Linked DNA regions of Canis lupus familiaris. The protein of the gene in region 3 purifies or fractionates together with the protein of the main gene of each other region. This does not show direct contact. Links are inferred from orthologs where the notes say so. Each region holds a gene or a part of one and is shown on either strand. Other genes may lie near its edges.

The links.
Region 1: the proteins of PNMA2 (region 3) and TRIM33 purify together in Homo sapiens (affinity purification with mass spectrometry; 3 studies listed by BioGRID and IntAct, with this or other methods). This does not show direct contact. The link is inferred for Canis lupus familiaris from reciprocal best matches to the Homo sapiens genes PNMA2 and TRIM33.
Region 2: the proteins of PNMA2 (region 3) and PKN2 purify together in Homo sapiens (affinity purification with mass spectrometry; 3 studies listed by BioGRID and IntAct, with this or other methods). This does not show direct contact. The link is inferred for Canis lupus familiaris from reciprocal best matches to the Homo sapiens genes PNMA2 and PKN2.
Region 4: the proteins of PNMA2 (region 3) and CEP290 purify together in Homo sapiens (co-immunoprecipitation; 3 studies listed by BioGRID and IntAct, with this or other methods). This does not show direct contact. The link is inferred for Canis lupus familiaris from reciprocal best matches to the Homo sapiens genes PNMA2 and CEP290.
Region 5: the proteins of PNMA2 (region 3) and RECQL4 purify together in Homo sapiens (affinity purification with mass spectrometry; 3 studies listed by BioGRID and IntAct, with this or other methods). This does not show direct contact. The link is inferred for Canis lupus familiaris from reciprocal best matches to the Homo sapiens genes PNMA2 and RECQL4.

Annotation. Positions count from the first base shown.
Region 1 is NC_049238.1:52,642,758-52,646,464, reverse strand, and holds the end of TRIM33 (E3 ubiquitin-protein ligase TRIM33), read left to right. Parts: intron 1-874; coding exon 875-925; intron 926-1,004; coding exon 1,005-1,217; 3' UTR 1,218-2,927; downstream 2,928-3,707. UniProt on the Homo sapiens protein: Acts as an E3 ubiquitin-protein ligase. Promotes SMAD4 ubiquitination, nuclear exclusion and degradation via the ubiquitin proteasome pathway. According to PubMed:16751102, does not promote a decrease in the level of endogenous SMAD4.
Region 2 is NC_049227.1:60,092,166-60,096,447, reverse strand, and holds part of PKN2 (serine/threonine-protein kinase N2), read left to right. Parts: intron 1-312; coding exon 313-456; intron 457-752; coding exon 753-828; intron 829-1,638; coding exon 1,639-1,813; intron 1,814-2,050; coding exon 2,051-2,177; intron 2,178-2,872; coding exon 2,873-3,003; intron 3,004-3,085; coding exon 3,086-3,161; intron 3,162-3,238; coding exon 3,239-3,330; intron 3,331-4,282. UniProt on the Homo sapiens protein: PKC-related serine/threonine-protein kinase and Rho/Rac effector protein that participates in specific signal transduction responses in the cell.
Region 3 is NC_049246.1:31,212,995-31,216,217, forward strand, and holds part of PNMA2 (paraneoplastic antigen Ma2), read left to right. Parts: intron 1-483; 5' UTR 484-614; intron 615-902; 5' UTR 903-1,405; coding exon 1,406-2,500; 3' UTR 2,501-3,223.
Region 4 is NC_049236.1:29,492,652-29,496,933, reverse strand, and holds the end of CEP290 (centrosomal protein of 290 kDa), read left to right. Parts: intron 1-1,889; coding exon 1,890-1,969; intron 1,970-3,175; coding exon 3,176-3,406; 3' UTR 3,407-3,943; downstream 3,944-4,282. Other genes in the region: C15H12orf29 (uncharacterized protein C12orf29 homolog), read right to left, coding at 4,183-4,271. UniProt on the Homo sapiens protein: Involved in early and late steps in cilia formation. Its association with CCP110 is required for inhibition of primary cilia formation by CCP110.
Region 5 is NC_049234.1:38,680,564-38,684,961, reverse strand, and holds the end of RECQL4 (ATP-dependent DNA helicase Q4), read left to right. Parts: intron 1-61; coding exon 62-198; intron 199-546; coding exon 547-885; intron 886-959; coding exon 960-1,139; intron 1,140-1,212; coding exon 1,213-1,354; intron 1,355-1,437; coding exon 1,438-1,697; intron 1,698-1,789; coding exon 1,790-2,066; intron 2,067-2,152; coding exon 2,153-2,282; intron 2,283-2,363; coding exon 2,364-2,533; intron 2,534-2,625; coding exon 2,626-2,806; intron 2,807-2,874; coding exon 2,875-3,031; intron 3,032-3,148; coding exon 3,149-3,257; intron 3,258-3,362; coding exon 3,363-3,487; 3' UTR 3,488-3,700; downstream 3,701-4,398. Other genes in the region: MFSD3 (major facilitator superfamily domain-containing protein 3), read right to left, coding at 3,820-3,993, 4,092-4,201, 4,269-4,393. UniProt on the Homo sapiens protein: An ATP-dependent DNA helicase which unwinds dsDNA with a 3'-overhang in a 3'-5' direction. Does not unwind more than 18 bp of dsDNA. May modulate chromosome segregation. The N-terminal domain (residues 1-54) binds DNA Y-shaped DNA better than ss- or dsDNA.

The DNA.
Region 1 (3,707 bases), on a different chromosome or scaffold from region 3:
GTGATCTATAACTCCTTCAAGGAAATTTTGTTTTCTTTGAGAAAAGGCAAGTCTCCTGTGGTTAAGGAAGATTTTCATTTTTCTAGGAGAAGAAAATGGAATTGGATAAGAATCTACAGAATATTTAGAAAGATCAAAAGCGTAAAAGATCTTCTTTATTGCTGATGAAATTTGGTGCCATATGACTATTACTAAAAGCATGTTGAATCATTTAAAGTATACTCATAGCTACCTCTGCAAGCATCTAGGTGATCTTTTTAAAATTTGGGGAAAAAAATAATCTTTATAGGTTAAATGTATAGTGTAGTAGTATACCACAGAGAGTATAGTAAAACCTTACTTACTTGAAGTTAAATTGATACAGTCCTAAGTTTTTTGTCATATTTTGTAATCCAATTAGATTATTTTCAAATAAATGTGCTTTTGTGAATTGTAGCTAACATTTGCAAGGAAGACACATTTTATCTGCGTTAGTGATAGTTAAATAGTTTATGGTTAACAAATTGCCATACAGATAGAATTCTGATAAGTGGTTTGTTGATGGTTTGGTAGTTTTTAAAAAAGCAACATTTCTTAAATGATTTATTTTTTGGTCTTAATTAGATTGATGTATTCACTTGACCTCCATTTCAGATTGACTTTACTAATTCAGAATTTGAAACCATTCTTGAGGTTTCACAGTAGCTTTAGCAACAGAACGTTGTAAAGAAAGTAGTTCCATGTTCCATAGAATTTTAGAAAGCACTTGATCTGGTTATAGCAATTTGTTCCCCCTAATATGGCTGACTTTCGTCACCAATCCTATGCAGTTTCATAACTTTAGAAAGGATTATAATTTCCCTTTTTTTTTTTTTGACTCTGGTATCCTTTTTAGATGATGAAAGTTGTTCAAGTTTATGCAGAAACACAAGAGATTAATTTGAAGGTAAGCTTTTCAGACCATGCAAACTTGGTGAAGGAATATGCATTACCAATAGGTGAATATTCCTATCTTTTGCTTGCAGGCTGATTCAGAAGTAGCTCAGGCAGGGAAAGCAGTTGCATTGTACTTTGAAGATAAACTCACAGAGATCTACTCAGACAGGACCTTCGCACCTTTGCCAGAGTTTGAGCAGGAAGAGGATGATGGTGAGGTAACTGAGGACTCTGACGAAGACTTTATACAGCCCCGCAGAAAACGCCTAAAGTCAGATGAGAGACCAGTACATATAAAGTAAAATGACATGAACTTAAATAATTGTTTTAAAAAGAGAAAGAGAGAGAAAAGAAAACTTTTTATTTAAGTGTTGCTGGAATATCCTGCCTGCAATGGGCACCTCCTTGACGAAGCTGATAGCTTTTACACAGTATTAGATTGAAGTAATGGACAGAAGTCACTTCTTGCGAAGAAAGGGGGAGAGAACTCTATTTGCAACTTTAAAAGTAAAAAACGAAAAGTAAAAGTGAAATGATTTGAAGATTTCTGTTACTAAAAAGGATGGTTCTTTAGAATGGCAGATGTTGGTGATCATGTGGTATTGATTGCTGCAGGATGCTGGTGTACAAGTAAATACTTGAAGGTCATGTCGTTTGATAAATTGTCTCTTGGACAAGAGTGCACAGCTATTAAAAACGACTTCCATGCCTCCCCTTCCACACACATACATACCAGTTTTTTTTCTAGGTAAAATCAAAGTTGCTCAGATTCCGCTTTGATGTCAATGCAGATGTGCATTGAATCATGCCATTATATTTTTTCTCCCTTTGATGCTGTTGGACCTTAGTTTTTATATTGGTTTAAAGAACTCAACAGTAGTTTTATTTTCTATTTATACCTGGAGTCTAGGAAACATCATTGATCATCATTTAATCAATTTTAATGGTCTGCTGAAATAAATATGGTAACTTTTCAGTGGCAGATCATATAGTAGTCATTTCCAGAGAAACACTTCCATGGAATCGCACTTCCCAGTCAGATCATTTAATCATAAAGTTACTCCCATCAAAGGCAGAATGTTTGTTTCAAAATTAATCTAGTTTTCTGTACATTTAAATTTGATTGAGAAGGTGACCACTGGCTCTTATCCAGTCTTCCTTCATATCAGTTTTCTGATAGACCACTATTGGCAAACAATAATCTGTCAACTACCAAATGTGTAAAATTTTCTGTATTTCACTTTGTCTTATTTGTAAATAGTGAACTAAAACTTCTGGCAGATCAGCAACATTTGCTGAGCCTGTTTTTTAAGCTAATGTGTATTCTTACTAATGTTCCTATCAAGAATGGATTTGTAATATATGCTGTCTATTTCTAATGTTCACATTCATATTTTGAGGTTCTATCTTATTTTAATAGAGAACAGACTTCTCAGAAAATCTTCAGAAGCAGCTTATTATTAAATATCAAAACTATTAAAATAAACCCGGTGGGGTTAGATTACTCATCTGTCCACCAAGTGGGACATTTGCATGGACTGGGGGCTTAACGGACTTAGAAGAGGCCTGTAAGTAAATCCTGAAAATGAGCCAATCCCCACTTGAATGGTTACTGGAGTAAACCCACCTTTACTACCCTGAGTTCAGCCCCTGAGACAGGTAAACCACCTTGGCTTGGTTTCATTTTTCTTCTCTTCATTTGTGATGCTCAGATCCAAGATGTGTGTTCTAGACTGTGTACAGGCTTCTCTTTTGTTGGATTAAAAAAAATTTAGTCCTACTTTTGTATGGACACCTTAAAATATAAAGTGACCAAAATAGAAGACTTGCCATTAGATATTTTTCAGACGTCAGCAGATTTGTGGCAAATCGTTTGCCTTTTTAAAACTTCAGCTTCTGCAGTTCGGACAGTAGACTACTCAGTAAAAATTATTTGACATAATTGTCTAAGGTAAATATTTTTTAGTGCATATTGAATCAAATAAAGTGCTCTAAAGAAATTATTATACAAATTCCTTTGGGTTTTTCTTTTCTTAACAAGTGTTGGGGGTAAACATGAATATTATTCAGGCCTTCTGATGGTGTATGTAAGTGGTGTTGATTTTATTACAGCTGTTGACTAACTTCATTCTGTGGCTTCTTTTTAGCTTCTTGTTATAAGTTCAGCTTTAAAATTTACACCAAACTTTTATCATTTTACTCAAATTTCAGGTACGTAAGAAGAATTTTCTTAAACGAGGGAGAGAATCATTTTAAAATGCTTTATTTATGTGTATTTCCCTCTTTACCACCACATTTATGATTTCAGTTTATCAGGAGTCATATCTAAGGGCACGTTTTGGAAAGCACTGAGTAGCAGTATAACTTCCTTTTGTCAAGCCATTGATTTCTAATATTTTACACTTGCTCTTCAGATGAATCCTTTCATGATTCTTAGAAAAAGTCTTATACATAGGTTCTATCCATGGGGGAGAAATTAAATTTTAAGTAAATATTTATTTCTTGATATTTGGGGCCTTAAAAGATAGTGTTCCCTTTCTATGTGAGGTGGAATTCTTTTTTTTTTTTTTTTTTTTTGAGATTGGTTTTTGAAAAGCCACTTTATTGTCAACGTGTAATATGCTCCATTTCTCTTAATAGAAGACAGTTCATACTACTGAGAATTTACTATTAAGTAAATAGCTGTCAACCACCCTTAAATGAGGGTTTAGATTTCACTGAAGCTTTTTTTCTTGTACACTAATCACTGTGTTCTTAAGCTGATTTGTTCAGCCACTATCTAATATAACCGG
Region 2 (4,282 bases), on a different chromosome or scaffold from region 3:
CTATGGCATTGAGCAGAGTTTCTGTGGTCATATATCTGTATTGGTTGTTCCTAGTTGTGTATACTTTATAAAAAAGGAATATCTTAGCTGGAGACTGTTGGAATGTAAATTTCTTCCTTAGAGTTAAAATATATAAGTTTATTAATATATAGTAGAGAAACATTACAAAGCACTCTTTAAAATAGTGTGACTTTTGTGTGTGTTATCTTTGTTTATTGTATTTGTATTTTATATTTTTTGTGATCTTTTATTCAAGTGTGTGTCCAATGATGTCTTCTGTTTTCTTTATTTTTTTTTTTTTAATTATCCTAGTCACGTGAACTGGAAATTTCAGTTTATTGGCGTGATTGGCGATCTCTGTGTGCTGTAAAATTTCTGAGGTTAGAAGATTTTTTAGACAACCAACGGCATGGCATGTGTCTCTATTTGGAACCACAGGGTACTTTATTTGCAGAGGTAATAAATGTATTTTATTAAATATGCATTACTATAATTGAAATTATATATGTAGGCAGCATGATGTAGAATGGAAAGAGTATTAGGCTGAACAACAGACAACTTGAATTCTTGGCCCAGTTCCACTACTGCATAGGTATTACCTTAAGACAAATCATTTATCCTCTATAGGTCTGTTTTCTCACCTAGAAAATGAGAAGTTGGGCTTAAATTATATCTATATCTTAAGTTTCCAAATTTCATGAACCATAAATCCAAAGCTATACTCATGTCAAATTGAATTTTCTTCCCTGCAGGTTACCTTTTTTAATCCAGTTATTGAAAGAAGACCCAAACTCCAAAGACAAAAGAAAATTTTTTCAAAACAACAAGGTAGTTACTAAGGAATCAAATACAGTGTCTTTTAGTGTATTCTTATACATAGGAAATCTGCATTTAAAAGTGATACCCATCTTTGTTTTTTTGTTTTCCTTTTATTTATTCGTTTCTAACTTTTTTTATTAAGGAACATTTCAAACATACCCAAAAGTAGAGAGATTAGTACCATGTACCATCACTTAGCCTCAACAACAGCTCATGGCTGATTTTATCTATATCCCATCCATATATACCTCAGATTACATGAAGCAGACGTGTATACTGGTTATACTGGTTAATCCATATACTGGTTAATCCATAAGTATTAAAGTTAGTATCTCTAACTTTTTTTTTTTAAGATTTTATTTCTTTATTTGAGACAGAGCATGTGAGAGTGCATGAGGTAGGGGAGAGGCAAAGGGAGAGGAAGAAGCAGAGTCCCCACTGAGCAGGATGCCCCATGTGGGGCTTGATCCCAGGACCCCGGAGATCATGACCCAAGCTGAAAGCAGATGCTCAACCTATTGAACCACCTAGGTGCCCCATTCTTTTTTTTTTTTTTTAAGAGAATTATTTCTTAAACTTTAGCCGCATATCATTGTTAGACTTAAAAAAAGTAACAGTGCCTACTTATTTATTTTTAAAACTATATTCACTATTTTGCACTAGCCTTTAATAACAAATAGTTAAGAACTATTTTTTTAAGTGACAAATTTTATTTGTTCTTCATAAATTATAAACCAATGAATATGGATTTTTAAATTATGGCTTTTGGTAACATATAAAAATTACTTATTCTATTTTCTTTATTCACAATATCCACAGGCAAAACATTTCTCAGAGCTCCTCAAATGAATATTAATATTGCCACTTGGGGAAGGCTAGTAAGAAGAGCTATTCCTACAGTAAATCATTCTGGCACCTTCAGCCCTCAAGCTCCTGTGCCTACTACAGTGCCAGTGGTTGATGTACGCATCCCTGAACTAGCACCTCCAGCTAGGTATGTGTCTAAGATTTTTAGGCATCGTTCTTATGAAATAGTTATTGTAACATTCATATATACTGATGACAATGAGTCTATTAAAAGTCTGATTTTTTTCCAAGTAGTATTTTGAAATTAATGTTCTGCTTACTTTAAAAAAATGTAAAAGATAAAATTGTTTGCTTTACTTTCAAAGCTATTTAGAATATATACTTTTGATTACTGTTTTTGGTGAATTACTTTATCTTTTGTAAGTGATTCTACAGTAACCAAGTTGGACTTTGATCTCGAACCTGAACCTCCTCCGGCCCCACCACGGGATTCTTCCCTTGGAGAAATAGATGAATCTGCTAAATTAAGAGATTTAGATACACCAGCACAGGTAAGGCATTTTAAACCTTGTATAATTCCTTTTACCAAATGAATTATTGATAAAAGCATCATACTGAATGAGATGTACCTTTCCGTTAATTAAAAAATTGCGTGAACTATGTTTTTATGTTTCTTGTGAGTGAAACATAAAACCTCTGGGTGCTCATGGGCCAGTACAGATAGAATAGGCTGCTGAAGCTAAAATCACAGGAACATGGTTGATATTATTTTTTTTTTATTTTTTTATTTTTTATTTTTTATTTATGATAGTCACAGAGAGAGAGAGGCAGAGACACAGGCAGAGGGAGAGAGGGAGAAGCAGGCTCCATGCACCGGGAGCCCGACGTGGGATTCGATCCTGGGTCTCCAGGATCGTGCCCTGGGCCAAAGGCAGGCGCCAAACCGCTGCGCCACCCAGGGATCCCCATGGTTGATATTAGATGATATATTGCTTCAAAAACTCTATCTTGTAACTTGGTTAACATGATTTCTAAATATTCATTGAAGATGACAGTAATGTGTTCATTTTTCAAATATTTTAGATAAGTGTAATATAGAATAATAACTAAGAATAAATATCCATTTTCTGAATTTTACATTCTTGCTAATATTTGTATTGGCTTTTGACATTTTTAAACTTTATCTTTACCAAATAATTCATTTCTCAATATTTCTATAATTAAATAAGTATGTAATATTTTATAGGATTCAGAAACTGTTTTTGATATTGAGAATGACAGAAATAGTATACTTCCGAAATCTCCATCTGAATATGAACCTAATATTCCTCAACCAGGCCTAGGATACAGTGGTATTCGAGAACTTGAGGATAGAAGGTAAAGAATATATATACAGCTTTGTTACTACATGTTGTGACCCATGGTTTTACCTTATTTTTAATTGACATACTGTTTTCAGATCTCAACAGATGTTTCAGTTTAATCTACAAGACTTCAGATGTTGTGCTGTCTTGGGTAGAGGACATTTTGGAAAGGTAATCTCTTAAATTTTCTTGGACTGACTACAAAGTAATAACTCAAATAGAAAATACTTATTTTAATCTCATTTCAGGTGCTTTTGGCTGAATATAAACACACAAACGAGATGTTTGCTATAAAAGCCTTAAAGAAAGGAGACATTGTGGCTCGAGATGAAGTAGACAGGTTAGTTTTTTTTTTTAGTGAAATTGTTTATTTTTCTGAAGTTCTAACTTAAGATCATGCAAATTGACGTATATATTGCAACAGCAAAACTTTCCATTTCCATAATATGTGGAGAAACTAAATTAATGTAGCTATACTTGTGTAAGGTAGGCATTAATTATTGTTTTTCTTTCTAGCCAACTTCTTATGAAGGTTTATTGGTTAGTGGCTACCAAGGAAAGATGATGAAATATTTAAGTTAATTGTATTAAGTTTTTTATACTTGGAGATGGTAAAGTGTTTATATGGAATAGGAACTGTTACTCATCTGTGGTTGGGGGAGACTATTTCCCATTTCATATTACAGAAGTAATACAGTGTCATTTATAGGTAATCTGCACTCAACTTGAATGGTTAATACATTCTGCTTTTTAAAATGCACCAAATCTATTTTTTCTTTCATTTTTCTTAAAGTGATATTTTTTGACCAGAACATCTTACCTGTCTGGGTTTAATAAATATAAATTGATATGGATACATCATTATATGCAATTTTTAAAATGCAAGGATTTGGGGGACAATATTATAATTAGGTTAGAGAATACCTTTAAAAAGACTATCTTAATAAGATGATTAAATATAAAATTATTGTATAACAAGTGACATATATGACAGAGACTTTCATTTGATATTTATAAGCAGTATTTGTTTTAAACCACTTGAAAGCATCAGTTGATATTAATAAAAGACAGCTCTATCTATGAAAAGAGCCTAGGACTATGAATGAAAAGACTGGCTTCTCTATTTGTGGTTGTTCCTTAATTAATGCTTTGACCCCAGGGCAATTCACTGAACATCTTTGAACCTCCATTAACCCGCATATTTTTAAAATATATATTTTTGGTAATCCTCACCTTAATGAATTGTATTAAGTGCTACACGCATACACACACACACCCCAAATTGCTATTTT
Region 3 (3,223 bases):
TTTTTCTTTTTCTTCAAATGACCCATTCAAGCCTAAATGCTATGAAGCATTTTTAACATTGATCGCAAAAAAAAAAAAAAAAAAAAAAAAAAAAAAAGAAAACAAAACATTGCATTTGTAAAGCCTGCCCAGACATAACAAAAGGGAATTGACTTGTAATTCCAGGTTTGATTTATTTGGTCCAATTTTTTAAAAAATTGTTAAACCTATACTAAATTATTATGCCTATATTACTTTATATTATACTATATTATATTAAAGTGTAGTATGTAAATTAAATTGTTATACCTATATTGGTTTTAAATGTTTGAGTGATTTCTAACTGGATTTTTTTAATTAAAGAAATGCAGCAACTTGATATCGATTCGTAGATTTAACTAAGTTGTAAAAGACTGTCATTTTTTTTAATAAGTGCATTAACAGTCCTCATCACTGGATATTATCAAGCCATAAATATATACTCTTATTATCTATGTGTAACAGGGCAGTTTGGCTTGGCTGGAGCTAAGAAAGACCCAGACACACCATTGTGTGGAGTTGGGTGACATCTTCCTTTTCTAGAAGCTGAATAAATAAGCTCGTGACTCTCACGGAACAATTGGATCGCGTAACAGGTATCTAGCCACACCTGATTTTGCTCTTAACATGGGGAACATCTTGAGTCCTGTCCACAATTGGGGCTCAGACATTAATTGGCATGTCTAATGAGCAAATGGTGGGGAAGCCAGATTGCAGGAGGGTCCCCAAGAGAAAAAAAGTCACCCTATGCAAAGAAGAGGTCTAACAGTGGGGTAGGTGCAAATCCAATGTGAGATGGAACCCCTACTTCCATCATGAACCAAAGCACGATGCTCCCCCAGAAGGAAAGGGCTATGTGGTAAAACTGGCCATTGTTTCACTAGGAGTCCAAGCACCCCTGCGGTGACACTTCTCTCCAGGAGTTCTGGGTGCCAGAGTGGAGGCCTCTCCCAGTGACTAGTGCGAGAGGAGAGGTGAAGCGAGGCAGCCAAGACTTGGGAGAGTGGCAAAAGCAGCCCTTGCAGGTGCCTCGGGCAGTCGGAGGAGGGTCAACACCACCACGTGGCTGCTGGCATCAGGGAGAGCCACAGCAGCCACTGGACCGCAGAGCAACAGGCAGTGGCAAGGTCATAACCTTGATAGGAACCACCTGCCTTGGGTCAGGTCTAGAGACATAACTGGAAGTGCTGAGTTCTTGCCACTGGGCAAGTAAGGGTTATTGGTCCAGAAGCCTTTGGGACTGCTGTTGGAGTGGCCAGGCCCCAGTCGCTGGTAGAGTATAATAAAATCAGGAGCTCACCCAGGATACTCTGAGTCCTAAGGCAGTGCCTCGCCACACCACAAACTATTGGGTGGCCAGAGAGTTAGGGTGAGTGATAATTGGACGATGGCGCTGGCGCTGTTGGAGGACTGGTGCAGGATCATGAGCGTGGATGAACAGAAATCACTGGTGGTTATGGGGATACCGGTGGACTGTGATGAGGCTGAGATTCAGGAGGTTCTCCAGGAGACCCTAAAGTCTCTGGGCAGGTATAGACTGCTTGGCAAAATATTCAGGAAGCAGGACAATGCCAATGCTGTCTTGTTGGAGCTTATGGAGGATGTTGACGTCTCGGTGATCCCCAGTGAGGTACGGGGAAAGGGGGGTATCTGGAAAGTCATCTTTAAGACCCCTAACCAGGACACTGAGTTTCTGGAACGACTGAACCTCTTTCTGGAAAAAGAGGGGCAGACGGTCTCAGGTATGTTCCGAGCCCTCGGGCATGAGGGAATGTCTCCAGCCACAGTGCCCTGCGTATCACCAGAGCTGTTGGCTCATTTGTTGGGACAGGCGATGGCACATGCCCCTCAGCCTCTGCTCCCCATGAGATACCGGAAACTGAGAGTGTTCTCAGGGAGCGCTGTGCCTGCCCCGGAAGAAGAGCCCTTTGAAATCTGGTTGGAACAGGCCACTGAGATCGTCAAAGAGTGGCCAGTTGCAGAGGCAGAAAAGAAAAGGTGGTTGATGGAAAGCCTGCGTGGCCCTGCCCTGGACCTCATGCATATAGTACAAGCAGACAATGCGGCCATAAGCGTGGAAGAGTGTTTGGAGGCGTTTAAGCAAGTGTTTGGAAGCCTTGAGAGCCGCAGGACCTCCCAGGTGAAGTACCTGAAGACCTATCAGGAGGAGGGGGAGAAGGTCTCAGCCTACCTGTTGCGGTTAGAAACCCTGCTCCGGCGGGCCGTGGAGAAACGAGCCATCCCCAGGAATATCGCAGATCAGGTCCGGCTGGAGCAGGTCATGGCAGGGGCCAGCCTTAGCGAAGTCCTTTGGTGCAGGCTGAGGGAGCTGAAGGATCAGGGCCCGCCTCCCAACTTCCTTGAGTTAATGAAGATAATCCGGGAGGAAGAGGAGGAAGAGGCCTCTTTTGAAAATGAGAATATTGAAGAGCCAGATGAAGGGGATGGCTATGGCCACTGGGATGACGAGGCAGATGACTAAAAACCAGCTTGGAGCCAGTGCACAGCCAGTGCACCTCGGGACATTTCCTTTTATCCGGCTAAGACCGGGTGGCTATTTTTGTCTTTAAATGGATGCAACTGAAATCGAAGCTTTCAAGCCAGGTCTTGATTCTTCTTTCTAAGAAAAAAAAAAAAAGTATCCCAGAGTTTCTTGGACCCTATATAGATGATGACTAAACACTGGATTCAATTCCAAATATGCGATAGGAAGTCTGAAGGAATCTGAAGCACTTGAAGTTTCCCCAATAGACCAAAGTTTACCCATACCATGAAAGAAAGAAATGACATGAGGAACAAAATATCTTTTGTAATCTATTTAAAAATCCGAGCTTTTTGACTTGTCAGGTGGATTTCCTTTCTCAAATCAGCACATTCTTTCTGAGTGCCTAGCAGTGTGAAGCACTGGTCAAGCAGGCAAGAGTCCTACACCCAGGAGCATGGGCCATGCTCTCAAGGAGCTTTACTGCCTCATTGAGGATGTGGCCTCTGCATGGGAGAAGCTAAATGACCTAATGTGTAAATAAGTCACAACCCCAGTAGAAGCACCATTGCCAAATGAATACAACCACTTCCGCTATGATGTTTCTTTTTCTTTACTTCGGATGCACTCCTCTACTTGTCCGCTAGGTGTCAGATGGTTGGTTCCAGGCACTATGATAGGCCCTCAAGATACCCATGACTCAGCCTAATCCCTGCTTTCAAG
Region 4 (4,282 bases), on a different chromosome or scaffold from region 3:
ACCATTTATTATGTATATTTAATAGTGTGATGGGGAAATGGCAAATTCTATTCCAAAGGTTTATATCAATTTATACCCGAACAGTCTGACTATTTCATACACCTTTTTCGGTATCCTACCACATATTCTTGTTACTACTTTGTTTTAAGGCTATCATGTACGAGTTTACCAGACACTATGCTAAGTGCTTTTACAAGCATTTTATAATTTAACTCTTAAGATGCTGTTTGGTGGGTACCGTTGTCTCCGTTTTACCTAGGATTGTCACCTTAAAGTTAAGCAACGAGGTCACAACAGCTAGGCATTGACAGGCAGGATGAAACCTAAATCTATGGAACTCCAAAGCCCCTCACCATTCCCTGTTTTTGACCATGCAAACTGCCTTATCTACCTTTTGGTAACTAGAACAGTCATGTAAATCTCTCTCAACAGTATCTCTTTTAGTAGCCAGCTTAGGGTACCAGACTAGCACACCCCCAAAGACCTTCTGATGCTATGACGTTTGGCAAGGTCTCTCTAAACCTAAGTTTCCTGAGAGGGAATTTCAGAACCTTATATTCCTCATCTATTTACAGGACACAAGGATACCTAACATATTTCAAAGATTGCTAAGGTTCAAAATCAAACGGAAATGGTCTTGGCAATTCTAAAGCACTATTTAAATACAAAGTATCAACAAGACTGTACAGTAGAATATTGAAAAAGCTGTTTGAAATAGTCAAAGGTTGCTCAGGTATAAATTGGAATAATTCTTTGGTATGGAATTTGCCATTTCAATCATGCAATCCAATACCTTAAGCAAACTCCAGAAAGTGCTGTACGTAGTAATTACTTTTACTGCACTACTTTTACTTTTACGTTCTTAAGCTGTGTAACGTATAGCACCCCTTTAAGACAATCAACTCAATACAGCATTCCGGTGATTAAGAACCGACTTTATAAAAAATAGCGAGTACTTTCTACAAAGGTGAGAGAAGTTTTGAAAAGTATCATTTTGCTCTGCTTTCCAAAGGAAGATGAGTTCTGTTGACTATTCCCAAAGAAAAGGATGAGGAAAATATTTCTTGTCTCCAGCTCATAATTAGGGGACCATTCCAAGGGAACTGTAATAGAGTACCAACCTTCCTGTCTCATTCATGAAAATGTGTCTTGCTGACCATTAATTTCTCAAAGTTTAGCATTACTTTTAAAATTTTACACTTCAGTGGCTGCAAAATGACATGACATACTAGATGTTATGTTTAATTTAAAGAAAATGTTTCTAGCAAAGATGACAATGAAATAAAACGTTCCATTTGTCCACTGATTCTCATTATAAATTTAGAGATGTTAACTCCAGGTGAGGGGAGTGGTTAAGGATCCAAGAAATTAAGGCTCTTGTACTGTACTTAACATTTTCCGACCATAGCATTAGGATTTATTTCTCTTTGTTTTATCCATCCTGACTGGCATATTTTTCGTGTAGTAATTACACAGTAAATGTGGACTAACTTCATGGAATAGTCAATACTGCTGGGTACCAGGAGCATTTGGCCAGCTGTGGCTGTAGACCCTTACCTAACAGTCTACTTATTTTGTTGTCCTTTTAGTACCTAACAATTTTTCCTGGCTCAGATCAGAATTTTTCTCTGGAAAATAATTTCTTCTAGGTTAGAAAAATTACCCTGATTCTACCCATCTAATACCCAGCAGATGGTTTTTCTCTTGGTCTGCTATGGAATTACAATACTGTAAAAGGTAGCATTACAGTATTCACAGCCTGGAAAGTTTTTCAGCCATAAAATGCCCTATTTTCTAGGCCGTGGTTTAGTTTTCTATTTATTCTCTAAAAGAAATCCTTTGTCAGAGTGGGGAAAAATGGAATCTGACTTTTAAAACTTTTTTGGCAGATCCTGATCAACTAAAGGAAAAAGTAAAAGATTTAGAGACACAGCTCAAAACCTCAGATTTAGAAAAGCAGCATTTGAAGGTAATTTTATCTAACTATATTATGTTTTGTGAAAACCGCTGTTAAAAACAACTTTTATGACTATCTTTAAGTATATATCCTAAAAATTACTGGGGTTATGTGATACACTTATGTTTGACCTTGATATTGCAGAGTTCATTATAGTCACCTGTGTTAAAAATACTAAACGAGAGCTACAAAAAAACTGAGATAAAACAAATAGGATTAAAGAGAAATTTATTTTTTAATTCTCACAAGCATAGCTCATTATTTTACTCTTAAGTTTTGGGCCACATTGGGAACAGTGTCTTTTATTTCCTTTTGAAATTCTTTTCAGGAAGAGCTCCTTTTTTATTAAAGAAAAATATTTGCCATGCTTTATCTCTTAAAGAATCTATAAACAGGGATCCCTGGGTGGCGCAGCGGTTTGGCGCCTGCCTTTGGCCCAGGGCGCGATCCTGGAGACCCGGGATCGAATCCCATGTCGGGCTCCCGGTGCATGGAGCCTGCTTCTCCCTCTGCCTGTGTCTCTGCCTCTCTCTCTCTGTGTGTGACTATCATAAATAAATAAATTTAAAAAAAAAAAAAAAAAAAAAAAAAAAAAAAAAAAAAAAAAGAATCTATAAACAGAACAAAACAGCATAAACTAAAGAATTAACTAGTGATCACTAGCTATTCTGAAGTTCATATTCTCTCTTTACACATTTCTCTTAGTCAGGTAGAGGTCCCAGAGTTTCCCAAATTCTAAATATATTTATAAGTTAAATGTTATTCATTAAAAAAAAATAGGTATTTGTAAAGAAAATATAAATGAAGCCTAAACCAAAGACTCTTAACCAAAATAACTTGTGTTGTGAACAGCCAAGTCTTTCTGATTGCCCCAATGAGAGTATCTAATATACTTTTAGAGAAAGCTTAAATGTTGCCACCACTAGTTTACACCCCCCCACATGCACACACACACACTAATTTAAGAAATAAGTTTTAGTCAAAAACTAGGGCATAATTTACAGAATAGATAATTTGATTTGCCAGCTAACAAGTTACTTATGCTGTACAGTGAAACCTTATTAATAGAATTCTAAGAAAATACTTCTGCCTGTATAGCATATATCTGATTATTCAGGTTACTTTGGATTTTATGTTTATATTTAAGTTTCTTTAATTTAAATCTAAAGAATGTATTATATTCCTACATACCTTTCAAAAATATCATGTTTCTATTAGGAGGAAATAAAAAAGCTGAAAAAAGAACTGGAAAACTTTGATCCTTCATTTTTTGAAGAAATTGAAGATCTGAAGTATAATTATAAAGAAGAAGTGAAAAAGAATATTCTCTTAGAAGAGAAGTTAAGAAAACTTTCTGAACAATGTGGAGTTGAATTAACTAGTCCTATTGCTGCTTCTGAACAGTTTGAAGATGAAGGAGAAAGTCCTCCTAATCTCCCCATTTATTAAGGACTACCTATAACTACAGTTTTATTGAACTATTTATTAACTTTATAAGTTAAAACTCCATCTGGAAATCAAGCAGGTCTCTGACCTACATGATTTCTTTCTTCATACCTGTACCTTTATTAAATTGAAGTCTTAGTAAATAAAATTATATAAAATTTTAAACATACTAGAAAAGTATATTTTTAAGACTTTTAGAGTAAGTTATGACTATCAAATGAGCTATGATGAATTTCTGTATATATTCATGTTTAAGTTTTTTAAAGAGTATAGGGTGATTTTAATTTTAACATTTAAAATTGGGGTTTTATACATACTTATTTATATGTGTGTTAAGAATCTAGTTTTATATATATTTACATGTATATAAACATGTTATGAGGTTATAGCCATATGTTAAGTATTAATGATCCAGAATTGTTGGTTTAGTTGCAGTCTTTAACTTTGTACCAGGCAGGGGAGCTTACCATTACATTTTTTAAGTCTTGTGGTTAAAATTCATTTGCTAGTTCTGAATAAAATTCTGAATAAAATTTGCAACTGGGAAATTCGTTTCTTCAAATGCTAGACGACATATTGCTCTCTTCAACACAGAATTCTGAGATGTAAAACCTTCCACATATAGCAGAATATTCAAGATTCCAATATAATAAAGCTGATTTTTAACTGGATTTCTAGTTTATACATCAAGTATTATATCTTTGAGTCTACCAAATTTCTGATTATCTATTTTTGAAAAAAGATTAAACAAACATTTAGTATCAAAGGCATGGTCATACTTGTTCAGATTCATGTTGATAACAACTGGTTTTGAATTCATGTAAGTATCTGGAATTGGCCAGCATAAACCAAGATGATGGCGATGAACCTGAAAAGAGC
Region 5 (4,398 bases), on a different chromosome or scaffold from region 3:
GGGACAAGGCGAGGTCAGGGCCTGGCCACAGAGCAGCAGTACTGACCCCTGGTCCCTCCAGGCATGTCCACGCTGTTGGTGCTGCCCACTGGTGCTGGCAAGTCTCTGTGCTACCAGCTTCCCGCGCTGCTCTACGCCCGGCGGAGCCCTTGCCTCACGCTGGTCATCTCTCCCCTCCTGTCGCTCATGGACGACCAGGTGCACAGACCTTGCCCGTGGGTCCTCTGATCCTTTGGGGCTGCTGCTTGTTGCCCGACCGGAGCTACGCAGAGCTGCGTCAAGGCCTGGCAGTGGCCCGAGGGCAGCTGGGACACGGCTGCTCAGGCGGGATTCCCCCAGGGAGAACGACCCTGGGGAGGGGGCAGCCCGTCTGCTCCCGGGGCTCCTGAACTAAGGCTCCCCGATGGCCCTGAGTCTGTAGTCATGGGGTCCGTGACCTGAGCTTTTTGTTCCTGGGGCACCCAAGGCCGAGGGCAGCAGCTGTCAGGCTGAGCAGATGAGGGGCCTGTGAGGAAGGGCCATCCGGTTGTCACCCTGTACCCACAGGTGTCCAGCTTACCCCCGTGCCTGAAGGGGGTCTGCATCCACTCGGGCATGAGCCAGAAGCAGCGCGAGTCGGCCCTGCAGAAGGTGAGGGGCCTCACGTGGCAGGACAGGCAGGGGGGCAGCCGGCCCTCGGTGACACGCCTGACCTTGCGTCTTCAGGTTCACGCGGCCCAGGTGCAGCTGCTGGTGCTGTCACCCGAGACGCTGGTGGGGGCTGGGGCGGGGATGCCTGGCCACCTCCCTCAGCTGCCTCCGGTCGCCTTCGCCTGCATCGATGAGGCCCATTGCATTTCCCAGTGGTCCCACAACTTCCGGCCCTGCTACCTGCGTGTCTGCAAGGTGAGCCTCAGAGGTGCGCACGGGCAGGCCAGGGAGGGGGGTTGGGTCCCTTCACAGGCACTGCTCCCACACAGGTGCTGCGGGAACACATGGGCGTGCGCTGCTTCCTGGGTCTCACAGCCACGGCCACACGCAGCACCGCAAGAGATGTGGCCCGGCATCTAGGTGTGGCCGAGGATCTGGTCCTCAGGGGGCCAGCCACCGTCCCCAGCAACCTGCACCTCTCTGTGTCCAGGGACAGGGACCCAGACCAGGTAGATGAGCACCCTGGGCCAGGTAGGGGCACTGCCTTGTGATGACCCCTTCCTGAGCACTGTCCCCCACTAGGCTTTGGTGACGCTGCTGCAGAGTGATCGCTTTCGCGCTCTGAGCTCAGTCATCGTCTACTGCCACAGACGCGGGGACACAGAGCGAGTTGCTGCGCTGCTCCGCACCTGCCTGCGTGAGGCCTGGGACCTCAGGCCTGGAGGTGAGGTCAGCAGGACTGTGCCCTGCACCCGCCCGCCCACCCCCCCCCACATCCCAGCCAACCACCTGTGTCTTCCCCCGCAGGCCAGTCCGAGGCTGTCGCCGAGGCCTACCACGCCGGCATGTGTCCGCGGGAGCGGCAGCGCGTGCAACAGGCCTTCATGGAGGGCCGGCTGCGGGTGGTGGTGGCCACGGTGGCTTTCGGGATGGGGCTGGACCGGCCAGACGTGCGGGCTGTGTTGCACCTGGGGCTGCCTGCCAGCTTCGAGAGCTACGTGCAGGCTGTGGGCCGGGCCGGACGTGACGGCCAGCCTGCACACTGCCACCTCTTCCTGCAGCCCCAGGTTCTCACCTGCCCCACTCAAGCTCCACCCAGCCCAGCCCACCCCACTCCGCCCCACCCCATAGCCACGTGTCCACGGCCGTTCTCTTGCAGAGCCAGGACCTGCAGGAGTTGCGCAGACACGTGCACGCTGATGCCACGGACTTTCTCACTATGAAGAAGCTGGTCCAGCGCGCATTCCCGCCCTGCACCTGCACCCATGCCCCACGGCCTTCGGAGCAGGAGGGAGCCAGGAGTCAAGAGCAGCCTGTGGCCCCATCCCCGACGGAGGCCGAGCAACCCAACAGCAAAGGCACAGCCCGGTGCCCAGGCCACACGCGGGCACTGCCCATGCAGGCACTGGTGGAAGCCCTGGACATGCCTGAGGAGGGTGAGGACCTGGGGGCAGGGGTGGGCACCCCCCTCATGCCCATGTCCCCACGTCCCCACGGCCCCTGAGCCCTGCTCTGCCTGCAGCCATCGAGACCCTGCTGTGCTACCTGGAGCTACACCCGCAGCGCTGGCTGCAGCTGCTGCCACCCACCTATGCCCAGTGCCGCCTGCACTGCCCTGGGGGCCCCACCCAGCTCCAGGCCCTGGCCCGCAGGTGAGCACGTGTCCCACCCCCGGCTGGGGCCCGGGACACAGGACTGGAACTGCTAATCATATGTCCCTCCCCCTGGCCCAGGTGCCCCCTGCTGGCTGTGTGTCTGGCCCAGCAGCCAGCGGATACCACAGATGGGGGAAGCTCTTCTGTAGAGTTTGACGTCTTTAACCTGGCTGACTCGCTGGGCTGGAAGCTGGGCCGCGTGCGGCAGGCTCTCCGTCAGCTGCAGTGGGACCCGAAGCCCAGGACAGGTGCGCCCTGCCCCCAGCCCAGCCCACAGCCCTGCCCAGCCCCCAGGCCTGCGTGCCACCTGCTTGCCCGTGTCTAATGAGCTCTCTGGCAGGTGCACATGGGGGCACGGGGGTGCAGGTGGAGTTCGGGGAGCTCGCCTTCTGTGTGCACAGTCCTGGGGACCTGACTGCCCATGAGAGGGACCAGATCTGTGACTTCCTGTATGGACACATACAGGCCCGAGAGCAGGAGGCCCTGGCCCGCCTGCGCCGCACCTTCCAGGCCTTTCTCAGGTAGGGGAGGGGTGGGCGGGGGCTGGGGCAGGCGTAGTGAGCCGCTCTAACGGAACCCTGCTCCACAGCGTGGCCTTCCCCAGCTGCGGGCCCTGCTTGGAGCAGCCTGATGAGGAACGCAGCACCAGGCTCAAGGCTTTACTCAGCGGCTACTTCGAGGAGGAGGAGGAGGAGGGTCCAGGGGGCTCGGAAGATGAGCAGGGCCTGGAGCCCGGACAGGAGAAGGTGGGTGCTAGTCCCTCTTGGGATTGTGGAGAGAATACAAGCCCGCAGCAGGGTTGGGAGGCCACGGGCACGCATGGGTGCGCACACATTCACACGCTCCACTGCCACCACCCATAGATCCAGGACTGGGAGGACCAGGTTCGCCAGGACGTCCACCGCCTGCTGTCCTCATGGCCAGACCAGCAGTTCTCAGGCAGGGCCGTGGCCCGTATCTTCCACGGCATCGGTGAGGGCCCGGGAGGCTGGGCTCGGACCGGGCAGGGGCTAGGTGTGGGGCTAGGAGCCAGGCCTGGCCCAGAGTCCTCAGGGCCGCGACCCCTTCCCACCACAGGAAGCCCCCGCTACCCGGCACAGGTGTACGGGCGGGACCGGCGCTTCTGGAGGAGATTCCTGCACCTCAGCTTCCAGGCCCTGATGCGCATAGCCACAGAGGAGATCCTGCGGTGCGGCCCCTGACCACCCTGCTGGGGCGGGCCCTGCTCCCTCGTGTCACGACAGGCACGCGCTGGGGGCTGCGTGGCCAGTGTGCAGGGAGCCCGGTGTGGACTTTGTCAGGGGAAAAGGGCACAGATGTCCACGACAGTGACTGATGACCCTGGGCAAGGCCCACCACCAGAAGTGTGGGAGCAAGGATGCCCCAAAATGCAGAATAAAAAATGCTCAAGCCACTCTTAGGAGCCCTCTTTTCTGAACAGGCGGCCCCTACGGTGTTGGGACAGCCCTGGCCGTCATGCAGCCCAGGCAGCTAGGCGCACGCTCAGCTTTATTAGGCAGGCTGGCCACCCAGCTCAGGCCAGGGTGCTGGGAGCCAGGCTCAGATACAGAATGGGCAAGCCTGAGAGGGCGAGGAAGAGGGAGAAGCAGAGATGCAGCCCCAGGCTGTCAGCCAGGGCTCCGGCCAGCGTGCCCAGAAACAGCTTTCCCAGCAGCTCCAGAGTGGCCAGGAGGCTGTAGTGCGTGGCCTGCAGGGGTGGGGGGGGATGAGGTGTGCGATCAGGTGAGGGTTTGCCTGGGTCCAGCCCCGCAGCCCCCTGGACGCCCCAGCCATGCCCTCTCTCACCTGCAGGGCACTGGGTGTCAGCTGGCTGCAGCGCATCATCAGGGTGAACGTGGTGGTGGTAACCAGGCCCCCCAGCAAGTGCTGCAGACACAGGCTCAGCAGGGCTGCCCCTGGGAGGGCCACCGTCAGCGGGGCCCAGGGCGCCACGCTCCTCCCCTCCCGCGGCCAGCCCCTCACCTCTCAGGGCTGCGCTGGGGCCCAGCCTGAGCCCTGGGCCGTCCAGGTGGAAGAGCAGGGCGGTCTGGCAGGCCAGGCCGCCAAGACGGAACCGGAGCAATGACCTCAGCAGGGGCAGAGGTTGCCTGAG